Arabidopsis thaliana: one gene and its partner. The protein of the gene in region 2 interacts with the protein of the main gene of each other region in a pairwise test. Each region holds a gene or a part of one and is shown on either strand. Other genes may lie near its edges.

Region 1 (5,709 bases), on a different chromosome or scaffold from region 2:
CATCGATTACAAAGAAACTCACAGCTCCATGGAAAAATTCAACTGACAAATGAAATTCACCGAAAGAAAGATAAGTCAGAGAAGAATGAATCACCTTCGGAGATATTCTTTGAAGAAAACCAGACTAGGATCGTGGAGAATCGAAGGATTCAATTTCAACTGCTCGACGAATCTTCTCAGCTCAGCTACTTGAATCGCATCCACCATCGAATTCCGCCTTTTTCTTCTTCTTTCTATGAAAAGCTTAGAAATCAGTGAATCCTTGTGATCGTACGGAGCTGTGTCTGCTCGTATTGGTTTTGATTAGACTGAAAAACGTTGAAATAATCATCGCCGAAAACCGAACATGTCCAACCGGTTTTGTCTTCGCGTTAACTTAACCGCGACTGAATTCATATCCGGTTTATCATCTTTTGCAACATCCCTTTTCGTTGTGCAATAAGACATTGGGCCTTGATGGGCTACAACACAAAATGGCCCACATATTGAAATTAGGATGTTACAAAGAAACTCACAGCCAAAACGAAGACCGAAAAATAATTAGCCAAAACGAATTAAAGCAAATTCTAAAAGATGTTCCATTTTCTCCATATATAATGATGACTTCTTTTGTGAATTCGAGTTGGTAACTGGTAATGTATCAAGCTTATTGTTAACCAGAGTACAAATTAGCAAATCCTATTAAAAAAATCCCCATATTTGAATAGAAAATTGATTAGAGAAATAACTTAGGGAAACAGAAGCGATGCAATTCCATTACATGAATTATACATATGCGAGCTTCAGTGATATATACAAAAGAACAGAGTTAAAAAAAAAGAAACAAACAGTTTCTACTAATTTTCCCAAGTACATATCTGATATGCTCTCATAAGTTCCATTCCACCAAAAAACATGTAAACAAAGTATACACTATCGTATATATAAAGCTAAGGAGAAACTCAGTGTGGCGAGTGAGGAAAAATTAACTGAGACATTGAAAAGACCGCCATTGAAATGCAAATATGGATGTGGAGTGGTCTAAAGCAACCTTCTTACTGTAGATGAAATTAGGTTGCAGAGCTGAGAGAAGAACTAATGCATTCAGACATTGATCTGCGACAATCTGTCGATGACTTCTTGTCTAAGCAATATGGGGATACGCTCGTGACCCTGAGAAACCCACAGCGAGAAAGAGAGTTAGCCCAAGAAACTATTGAATGGTGTATTCTAAAGAAGTGTTGCGTACCTTTCTTTGCGTTTCTCTAAAAACCTAGCCAGGGATGCTTTGCGAGCCAGAGGTAATGCCACTGCATAAGAAACAGAACGAGAATGAAGTTACATCCATGAAAATACTAGTAAGTTAGATGGCGAATGTAGTATCAGGTCTCTGACTTTGTTTTTTACCTGTTGGAGCCATTACATTGGTAGAACAAGAAACTGGTACTGGGCAGTTAATATTGGATCCATTAGCTTGGTTGTTGTGATATGTTGACGTCAAGCCTCTTGTCGCTTTTGTGGCTCCGAGTCCGTTTGTGCTACTTCCAGCTTCAGGGCTAAGATAAGATATTGTAGGCATGAAGCTAGGAGGCATAGCTGAAGAATCGACAGAGGCACGAGTATGATGGACCACTTGTTGATGAGTTTGAGGCGGCGAAAAGACTTGAGGCATAGAGGAACCGTTCCCAGCTAGCAACATTATCGCCTTTGCCTGAGAAATGAAAGAAAGCAAATGAGTACCATACCTTACGAGTAAAAGAGATGCATATATGGAAGAAAATGATTGAGATACCTTTTCAGGAGATATGTCATCGTAAACACAAACTGAACCGGCATAAAAGATCGTCAACTGCGCAGGTGAACCTATTGGCTTGGAAGAAGATCTGACAAAAATAAGTCTTTAGTCAACTATGAAAATGTAGAAAGAGTTTCTGTATGATATGATGACTAGTGGGTACCTAATATCAGTAGTCCCTACAATGGAACCTGGAGGAGGAAGGATTGAAATTGGAGGTGCCATGATAGGAACTCCTACCAAAGGTTGTGAGTTATTGTTATTGTTCATGAAGCTTCTTCCTCCTGGTGCATAATGATGAGACTGGAAACCCGGCATCGACATGGAAACTGCGTTAGTTTCTTCGTGTTGATTGGAATTAGGGAACATCCTCACTCCCTGAGAGTAACAAGCCATAAAGTAGGTGTGAGGCATTGTATGAACTAACTTATCAAAAATGAGAAGCTTAGCTTACACTTAAAATGAATCAGTATTAAACCAAGATTAGATCCACAAACTAATTGCCATGAACTTGTGCTAAACTAGACTCAAAACCAATTACTATATGCTCATAAAACAGGGCTCACTTTTAAAGCTATCTTGCGAAGGATAAAAAAAACACAAGGGTCTTGGTTAACATAGGTTTTGATGACAAATACCTGTACAGAACTGTAAGGAGCTTTGCGGGTTGAATCATAAACATCAGCTACTGATGATGGCATGAAGGAACCAGAGTGAGGAAGATGATAATTTCCAGACTTTCTATGTCTATCTTCTTGAGTTGGCCTGAAGGATAGAAACTGAGAAGAAGAAGCTGATACTTTGTTTGAGAAAGACCAGTTCATTCCTCTGTTGGGAGCTACAAAAGAAAAAGAATAAAAGATAATCAGTTTAAAGTCAAACATGTAGTGTTAACTGTTAACCATAAATGTCTCGAGATCTCCTTACATAAACAACAGAGGATTAATTCAACACCTACTTCAAGGAAAAGATTAGTAACCAACAATGTAGAATCTGATACTGTTGACAAATTCAACGAGGGAAAACCACTTTCGAAAACCGTGTCTAATTCTAAAACATTTGATTGAAAGTCATTGTACGAAACTCCAATAATTTAAGTTTGTTTTAATAGTTTAAATTAAAGAGAGATTCAAACTTTAACCCCACCACACCACACCACATGTTGATGCACTACTTTTATGGTGTGGCACGTTTTGGCTGATAAGAAAACAAAGTTGAAATAATTATATTCCTCGTGGTGAGAAAACTATTATTTCCACATTGTACCTTGAACAATATTCTAACGCAAGTTCCGCTTAATCAACACACAACACAAATACACAATCAATATTTTAATAATCTCATAAACTAATCCAACTCACACAATCAAGAAGTTAATCATCTTATAAACTAATCCAACTCACTCTTTTGAGTATATTTAATCTTTCTACCTACTACCAACCGTCTCTATTTTATCATTTTTGTATCAGTCTCTATACATCCCCTCTTTTCCAACATTTTACGTATTCGTTTTTTTTTTAGTATAAACTAATAAAGTATTTCTCAATTATAAGACTCTTCAAACAAAACAAAAAAATTTACTCTAGTAAAAAAAAGTTTACCGAGTTTAATTATGTTAGAAGCTTGAGATTAGTTCTCGTTAATTTCTCCGACCGAAAGCATGTTTAAGACAAGGCTTTGGAAAAGAACACTAGTTTTTCCAAATCCAAATTCTACATCTCCCGAGAAAAGCAAAGGACAATGTTCTGCTCCAAGCAACAAACTGACAATTCCAGTTCCCGAGCAAGCCATAAAATCAGCTATCCAAAAACAAATTCCATACTACAAGTAGTCCTAATAACTCCTAATCAATCAAACAAATCTACGATTTAAAAACAATCAGAATCAGAAAAATTGAGAAGAGTAATAAATAACCTGAATCTCTAGAGCTTTCGCTGGTTTCCTCCTTGACAGTGATCGGAGAATTTTTCGAACCCAACCCGAGAAAATCTCTCTCCATCTATAATAAAGACACAGCCCGCTACAAAATTAATTCGATCTCAAATGTCTGTTTCGATTAAAACGCGTGTTAAACGCCGGAATCAAGCTAAATAGAGCTTCGCCGGAAAAAGGAAAAAAAACAGAGACTTTTGAGGGAGAAAATGAAAAAACGTGGAATGAAGTTAATTCACCGCAATTTCTAGTTTTATTAACAAATCGCATGCGACATGTGAATCGTACCATTAATTTATAACTATAACAAGAAAAAAAAGATTCTTTTTTCTCATATCCTATTGGCGCAAAAACCAGCTACAGGTTGTCCCGGTTACGTCACCGGATATAGTCGGTTAAAAAGGCACGTGCATCGTCGTGCAGTGTGTGGCGTTTCTTTTTGTGGTGAGACGCGTGGCGAGGCACGTGCGCTATTTTAACGTGAATGATTCACGAGATGCGAAGCGGCAGTTTTAATTTATTTTTTTATTCAATGACAACACTTTTTTTTGTCGGCTGACGCGCTAAGTGTAGCGCGTGAGTCTAACCCCCTTTTTGTCTCACCGCTCAATCTAAAATAGTAAAATTAGTTACACTACTTTCGTGCACGTTCTCTTGACCAAGATAAACATTTGCACGTTGCATTTTTTTGGCAAAATATATTAATTTGTATTTTAGTACTATATTTTTAATCTTTGATTAATCGGATGGTACTATAAAGTAATTGTAAAGATTAGACTTTCATAAAATGATTTAAATACAACAAAATAATTGTTGCGGAAATTTAGTTCCACAACTAAACATTATTAAGCTAAATCTAAATCCTCATGTGATTATGTCATCACTCTAATATTATTTTTTTTAATCCAATTTTTAATTATTTTTTCTGTCATTGTACTTTTATTAATATTTTTCGCGAATTATTAAAGAATGTTGCTTGTTGCTTAAACTATACTTGTATTAATTAAGGTAATTATTGGTACCAAAAAGAAAATATTACTTTAATGTACATATTACTAAAATCACTCGTTGACATCGTTTTTGTGTATTTATAAGATGCATGTGGTCCGGGGGAGGAAATTACGCCATTTCGTGCGTCACTTTCTTCTTAATTTAGTAAAAACTAATACTATACTAAATTTACTAATGTTTTAAAACATATCTAATTATCTCACAAATATAATAATAAAGTTTTCATTTTTTTATGAAAATGAATATTTAAAATTCAAATCTATAGAAAAAATGGAAAGGAGTCAATGATCACAACAACTTGACGATCTCTAAACAAAAAAAAAATTGACGATCATCTCCCACGATAACATCGTTATTTCGAGTCTGGGGGATATGCAGCACACGTCATTTTCTCCAGCCTAGAATTTAGATATTAATATCACATTATTAAGAAAATACTACACTGCAGTTTATTATATACACAACATTCCATATAGATAATAGATCAGATCAGATCAAAAGTGGACCTACAAAGCGAAGATTATATCAAAAGATGCCATAAACGCATCTCTCACGCTATGATCCACATAAAACATCCGAAATTTAATTCTGTTTTTACATCCGACATTTAATTCTTGTTTTCTGTTTTTACATCATTTAATTCTGGTTACCACGACATTTTTTTTGTTTTAATGGTATTAGACTCTATATAGACATACAAAACTCAAAACAAAAGATTCAATGATCACCCCCTACCAAAAAAAGAACAGATTAAATGATCACGAGTTGGCTTAACAACGAAAACTTTTCTCCAACCAAAACCAAACTTAACTATTCTAAATCAAACTCAACAGCAACAGCAACGTCTGTTTACAACAACAACTTAAATAATTTTGTATTAAAATCGAATGAGAGTAAATAATGGCAAAGAGAAAATCAAATGACATATGTATATGCATGATATATAGCGCAGCATTTAACTATATTTAGACTGACTTGAGTAGTTGCAATAT
Region 2 (4,930 bases):
TTGGATGAAATCGAAACCCTGGAGCACTAAATTTGCCTCCTTTGAAACACGAATCGGGTGAAGAATCCGCCATCTACGTAACAAATCAAAACCGATCCCTCAAAAAAAATTTGAAAATCCCCAGCGACGAAAAAAAACTGATCGGGTCAACGAGGGAGAAAAATCTCTCTCTCAGAAAAACTCAGATCTCTTCTCTCTTCGTCACTCAAGATCCAGAAGAGAAGATGAATCAAACCTACATGACAGTGAGACCAACCGCCGGGAATCTGAACGAATTGATACACCTAGGGTTTGATCGGCGAGAGAGAGAGATAACGAAAATGGAAATTAACGAGAAATGAGACTTTGTGTAGATTGAGGTGATTTTTTGGTTGGCTATTTGATGGTCTCAGCTTTTTCTGCTACTTAGTTTGTGAGAACCTACTGGGCTCGAAATATACTAGCTCAGGCCCATTAATTCGACAGGCCCATTATTGTTATTTTTTTCCAACATTCTTGTCTGACACGACAGAGGTTCAAAAATTCTGCTTAATATGATAAGTGCAAGCAAAATTTCAAAGCCATCAGAGAATCCAGGAAAAAAGAAATCTTTTGTTAAGAATTAAACTCTTTCAAACTCTATACATAATCAAAGATGTGGATCAGGCTAACTTATGCTGAATCAAGATTCAAGAGTCTAGGTCACGACAAGAGAGGTCTTCCCATAACTCCAACGGTGGCTTTGAACACCCAGAAGATAGCACACAAAGCACCCATAATTGATAACAGAAGAAAACCTCTGTTACTGATACGCTTCTTTGCTACAGTGACTTTTCTACTAGTCACTGACGTTCCATTGAACCTGATGCGGCTGAAGCTAGACATACGCACAAAGGTCTGGTTAAGAGGACCCTCACAGGCAGAGGCTGGTGTTGATGGTATTGATTCCAATAATTCCCACAGAGCTGATGAGAACTGGCTCCTTGTTCCACCACCATTTTGTCCTTCCTTGTATTGGGGATTTACACTCATAGTGGGATTCATAGACTCAGGCATCACACCTAAGTAAGTTGGTATTCACAAAGTATCAGTAAAAAAGGCCCTAGGTTATTATGTTTCAAGATCTTAACAAGAGGGTTTGATATCAACAAAAAGAAAACAGAGTATAATATATACATGTCTTGGTTAAATTCAAAAACTAATGCTTCGTGGGAAATATAACTTGGCAGACAACATAAGGGAATGCTCTGAGATGAGGGTGAGTTTAAAGACTTTTTAAGTACCTGTTGACTGTGAAGTGAATGCTCCAGAAGAAGATTGTGGTGGTTGAACATAGAGAGCAGCCTGATCATCTTTAAACCACATATTGTCAGTGAACTGATTAAGAGTGGTACTAGGATGCATGTAGTTATTAAGCTGGTTCTCAGGTGTCTGGTACTGGAACTGTTCATAAAGTAATTGCTGTCTTTGGCCTGATGTGTTATTAGTAAAATTACTCAGACAAGACAGATCTGTAGAAGTTCCCTGAAAAACAGATATGTCATTGAACAATTGGTCGTATTCATTAACATCACCAAATTCACCATGGTTCAAGAACTCTGTGGATTTCTCTGTTGAAGAAGCACCGAGCTCAGGGATCAGAAGATCATTCATTTCAATGTACTCCTCCTTCTCATTATCTAGAAGAGGTGCCATACCAGAGGTAGCCTCAAATGAATTCAAATGGGACTGAAAACTCGAGTCCCTGTTGTATAGCTGGCCATTTGGCAAGAACATTCCATTCGTCCGAGGGTCAATATACTCTCCAGAAGAATTATTCAGCAATGTGCTCTGTATCACTTCTGCACTATTACCCTGCAAATACAAGTATCTATTTAGTGAAGGAAGCACAACAGAATAACCAAAGGACCCAAAAAAGAAAGAAAGCATAAGCCAATATGTTATTAGAGAAGAAACTAACCTGTGGAACACCAACAAACTCATCAAACTGTCTTTGGTTAACCCCGGGTGCATCTGGGATTTCATTGAGAAGCTTCTCAATATCCTCTAACTGAAGTTTGACAGGATTGCAAAATTTAGTATCATCCACACAAGGACCATTCTCATAACGGACCACGGGATAATCCGGTACAGCGACACTATCTGCATCTTCACTATCACTATCAACCCATTCTTCTTCTTGGAACGGAGCACCATACTGTTCACCATTCTTAGGACCAGCCCCACTCTTCTTATAAAGCTTATAAAGAGCATAATACTCCTGAAGGTAAGACAGATTAGTTAAACTACAAATAAATCAAAAAGAGAAACAGATGAGTTTTGGCTATAATACTAACCTTAGCGTTCTTACATCTCCCTAGCTCTTCTTCATCCATAGTGTACTCATGCATCACCCAGTCAGTTCTCTCACCATTAGGAGCACGACCTCTATAGAAAACAAGAGTCTTCTTGAGTCCAACAGATCTTGAATTGTACTCAATGACTCGATCCTTTCCTGTCGCCTTCCAATAACCAGTTGCAGTACCTCTACTTGACCTAGCTGCGTTAGGATACTTCCTATTCCTTGGAGTGAAAAAGAACCACTGTCTATCTCCCGTCTTCAACATCGATAGACCTGTTACATTCACCGTGTTAGAAAACCAATTCCAACATAAATTTGATACTTGCATAACAAATAAACAAATTGGAAACCTAAACATTGTGAAAATGAAATCATATGAGCATAAATGAGGATCGATACGAATTAAATAGTGAATAAAGACGTTTCCTTGTCATATACTCAACAAATCATCAACAACCAAAACTTTTCCTTGTCATATACTCAACTACATCATTAATAACCTAAACTAATTGATCACGATACGTAGAGAAAACATGAATCAAAATCGATAAGAAGGTGTTGAAAATTACCAGGCAATTCAGAAGGATCGACTTTGTAAACATCAACGACACCAATGGCATTGACTCGAAGTTTTTTACAACAGATCTTCCTCTTAAGATAATAAACCACAAGCTCTTCATCAGTAGGGTGAAATCGAAAACCTGGAGCACTAAACTTACCAGCTTTGAAACACGAATCACGAGAAGAATCAACCATCTCGATCGGGGTCAACGAGAAGTAAACCCTTTGAAACAGAACACACAACCTAAAACCCTCTTTCTCTCTTCGCCTCTTAGTGGAGACAACAAGATCAAACTTACATAACAGTGGAAGAAATTCTAGGGTTTTTTGATCGGCGGTAGATAGATTTTGGATAGAGTCAAAAAAATGATTTTGTTTGTGATTATATGTGTCAGCTTTTTTCTGACTAACGAAGTTTCCGAGAATCTTACTGGGCTTTTGGAATTACACGCCCAAAGGGGCCAAACTGATAAATTTTAATATTCGTTAATTTGTTGTTGTTACAAAGGAACTAAATGTTGAATCCACCACTCACTACTATTTTTCAAACTTACAATAAAATAATCGTATAAAATCAAATAAAATAAATTTTGTAGAGTAAAAACTTGTACAATATAAATTTGTAGCATCAATTCACTTCAATAAATTTTATGTGACTGATTACATTTTGTAAGATAACATAATTTACTATTACATTATTCATAATAACTTAATAATATTTGATATATTAGTTAGTATTTGATAAAGGTATTGAAAGTATATAAATAGTGCTTAGAAGTTATGAAAGTCTTAATATTATTGTAGAAAGTAACATATTTTTCATTATAAGATTTTTTTTTTTTTTTTTACAATTGTTAATATATTTTCCAACCGAAAAAATTAAAAAATCCCATAATAGAGTGCAATTCTTGCAGCTCCCATGAAGAGAGTGAATAATCCAAAGACGGGAAGAGTAAGCTTTGAAGACGAGATAGCTATATAGGACCGAATATCGGCAAACGATCTATTCGATTAATGGAATGAACAACCTATGCATATAGAACTTTATTCTTATTCTAAACAAAAACTAGGAGACAAACAAAAAAGGACAAAAATTACAAGACATCTAAACCTAAATGTGGCAAAAACATATGGATTTATTTAGTTATGAAGACTCACAAATCTATAAGATCAAGGATGAGAAAAAAGAAAAATCGACATGTGAATCAACGTTCTCTATGCAGTTGTAGAAGATGTTTTAATTTTCACCTCTTGTCATGTGGAAAATTCTCGAAAAATCCATGAAGAACTCGTTCAATTCTCCAGAGAGCTTTTGTGAGGGATTCTGATCACTGGTAAACAACATTAGAGAAGGATTCATCCCAAAATGAGGAGTTATTCGACAACTAGTAATAAGCATCCAAGCAAACACGCTAAAAAAAAATTAATCTTAATTACAAACAATGGAAAACAAAAAGAGAAATAAACAACATCGTCGAAATCAAAAGATTCTGGACACTAAGAACTAATTAAAACAATAGAGAAATTATCAGATTAAGCCAAAAAGATAGTAGCATGAACAAAGATAGAATATATATAGTTATAGATATATATTAATTCAATAGAATCAATATTTACGAGGTTTCCACTTTCCATCTAATCGAGTCAAAATTAATAATAACCTATAACCCTAATTACTTTTTGTAAAACTCATTAAACAACTGTTGGGCTTCTTTGACCGTGGAGTTTTAGTAGGTTCTTAATTTCCCAAAATACATTAATTTCTTGCGTGTAATATGGTAGCTTTATTATGTATATCTTTTGGTGACTTAATAAGGTCTTAATTCTCTATAAATACATGCTTATTGTATACATCAACTACACATCAAATTAAAAAATTACTCTGTGATTGGTAGCCGGATCTAGAGAAAAATAGTCTGCCTGGTATTTTAATCCCTAATTTAAATTTTTTCACTCAAATCATATACGATTTTTAAAATAGTTTAATAGTTTGTAGTAATTTCTTCTCATTTGTGATGGAAAGATATAATTTTCTATTACAAAAATTAC

The links.
Region 1: the proteins of NAC016 (region 2) and JAZ3 interact in binary tests that used the Arabidopsis thaliana proteins (3 or more experiments, as listed by UniProt).

Annotation. Positions count from the first base shown.
Region 1 is NC_003074.8:6,118,032-6,123,740, reverse strand, and holds JAZ3 (jasmonate-zim-domain protein 3), read right to left. Parts: upstream 4,035-5,709; 5' UTR 3,774-4,034; coding exon 3,689-3,773; exon of another isoform or gene 2,659-3,688; coding exon of another isoform or gene 2,613-2,658; coding exon 2,413-2,612; intron 2,153-2,412; coding exon 1,938-2,152; intron 1,863-1,937; coding exon 1,772-1,862; intron 1,691-1,771; coding exon 1,387-1,690; intron 1,290-1,386; coding exon 1,229-1,289; intron 1,153-1,228; coding exon 1,050-1,152; 3' UTR 697-1,049; downstream 1-696. Other genes in the region: TDX (tetraticopeptide domain-containing thioredoxin), read right to left, coding at 95-207. UniProt on the Arabidopsis thaliana protein: Repressor of jasmonate responses. Jasmonoyl-isoleucine (JA-Ile) specifically promotes COI1-TIFY6B/JAZ3 interaction. Acts as a negative regulator of MYC2 function. Feed-back regulated by MYC2.
Region 2 is NC_003070.9:12,446,872-12,451,801, reverse strand, and holds NAC016 (NAC domain containing protein 16), read right to left. Parts: upstream 3,077-4,930; coding exon 2,854-3,076; intron 2,594-2,853; coding exon 2,316-2,593; intron 2,240-2,315; coding exon 1,940-2,239; intron 1,834-1,939; coding exon 1,263-1,833; coding exon of another isoform or gene 1,255-1,262; exon of another isoform or gene 1,041-1,254; coding exon 682-1,040; 3' UTR 515-681; downstream 1-514. Other genes in the region: NAC017 (NAC domain containing protein 17), read right to left, coding at 1-73. UniProt on the Arabidopsis thaliana protein: Transcriptional activator activated by proteolytic cleavage through regulated intramembrane proteolysis (RIP).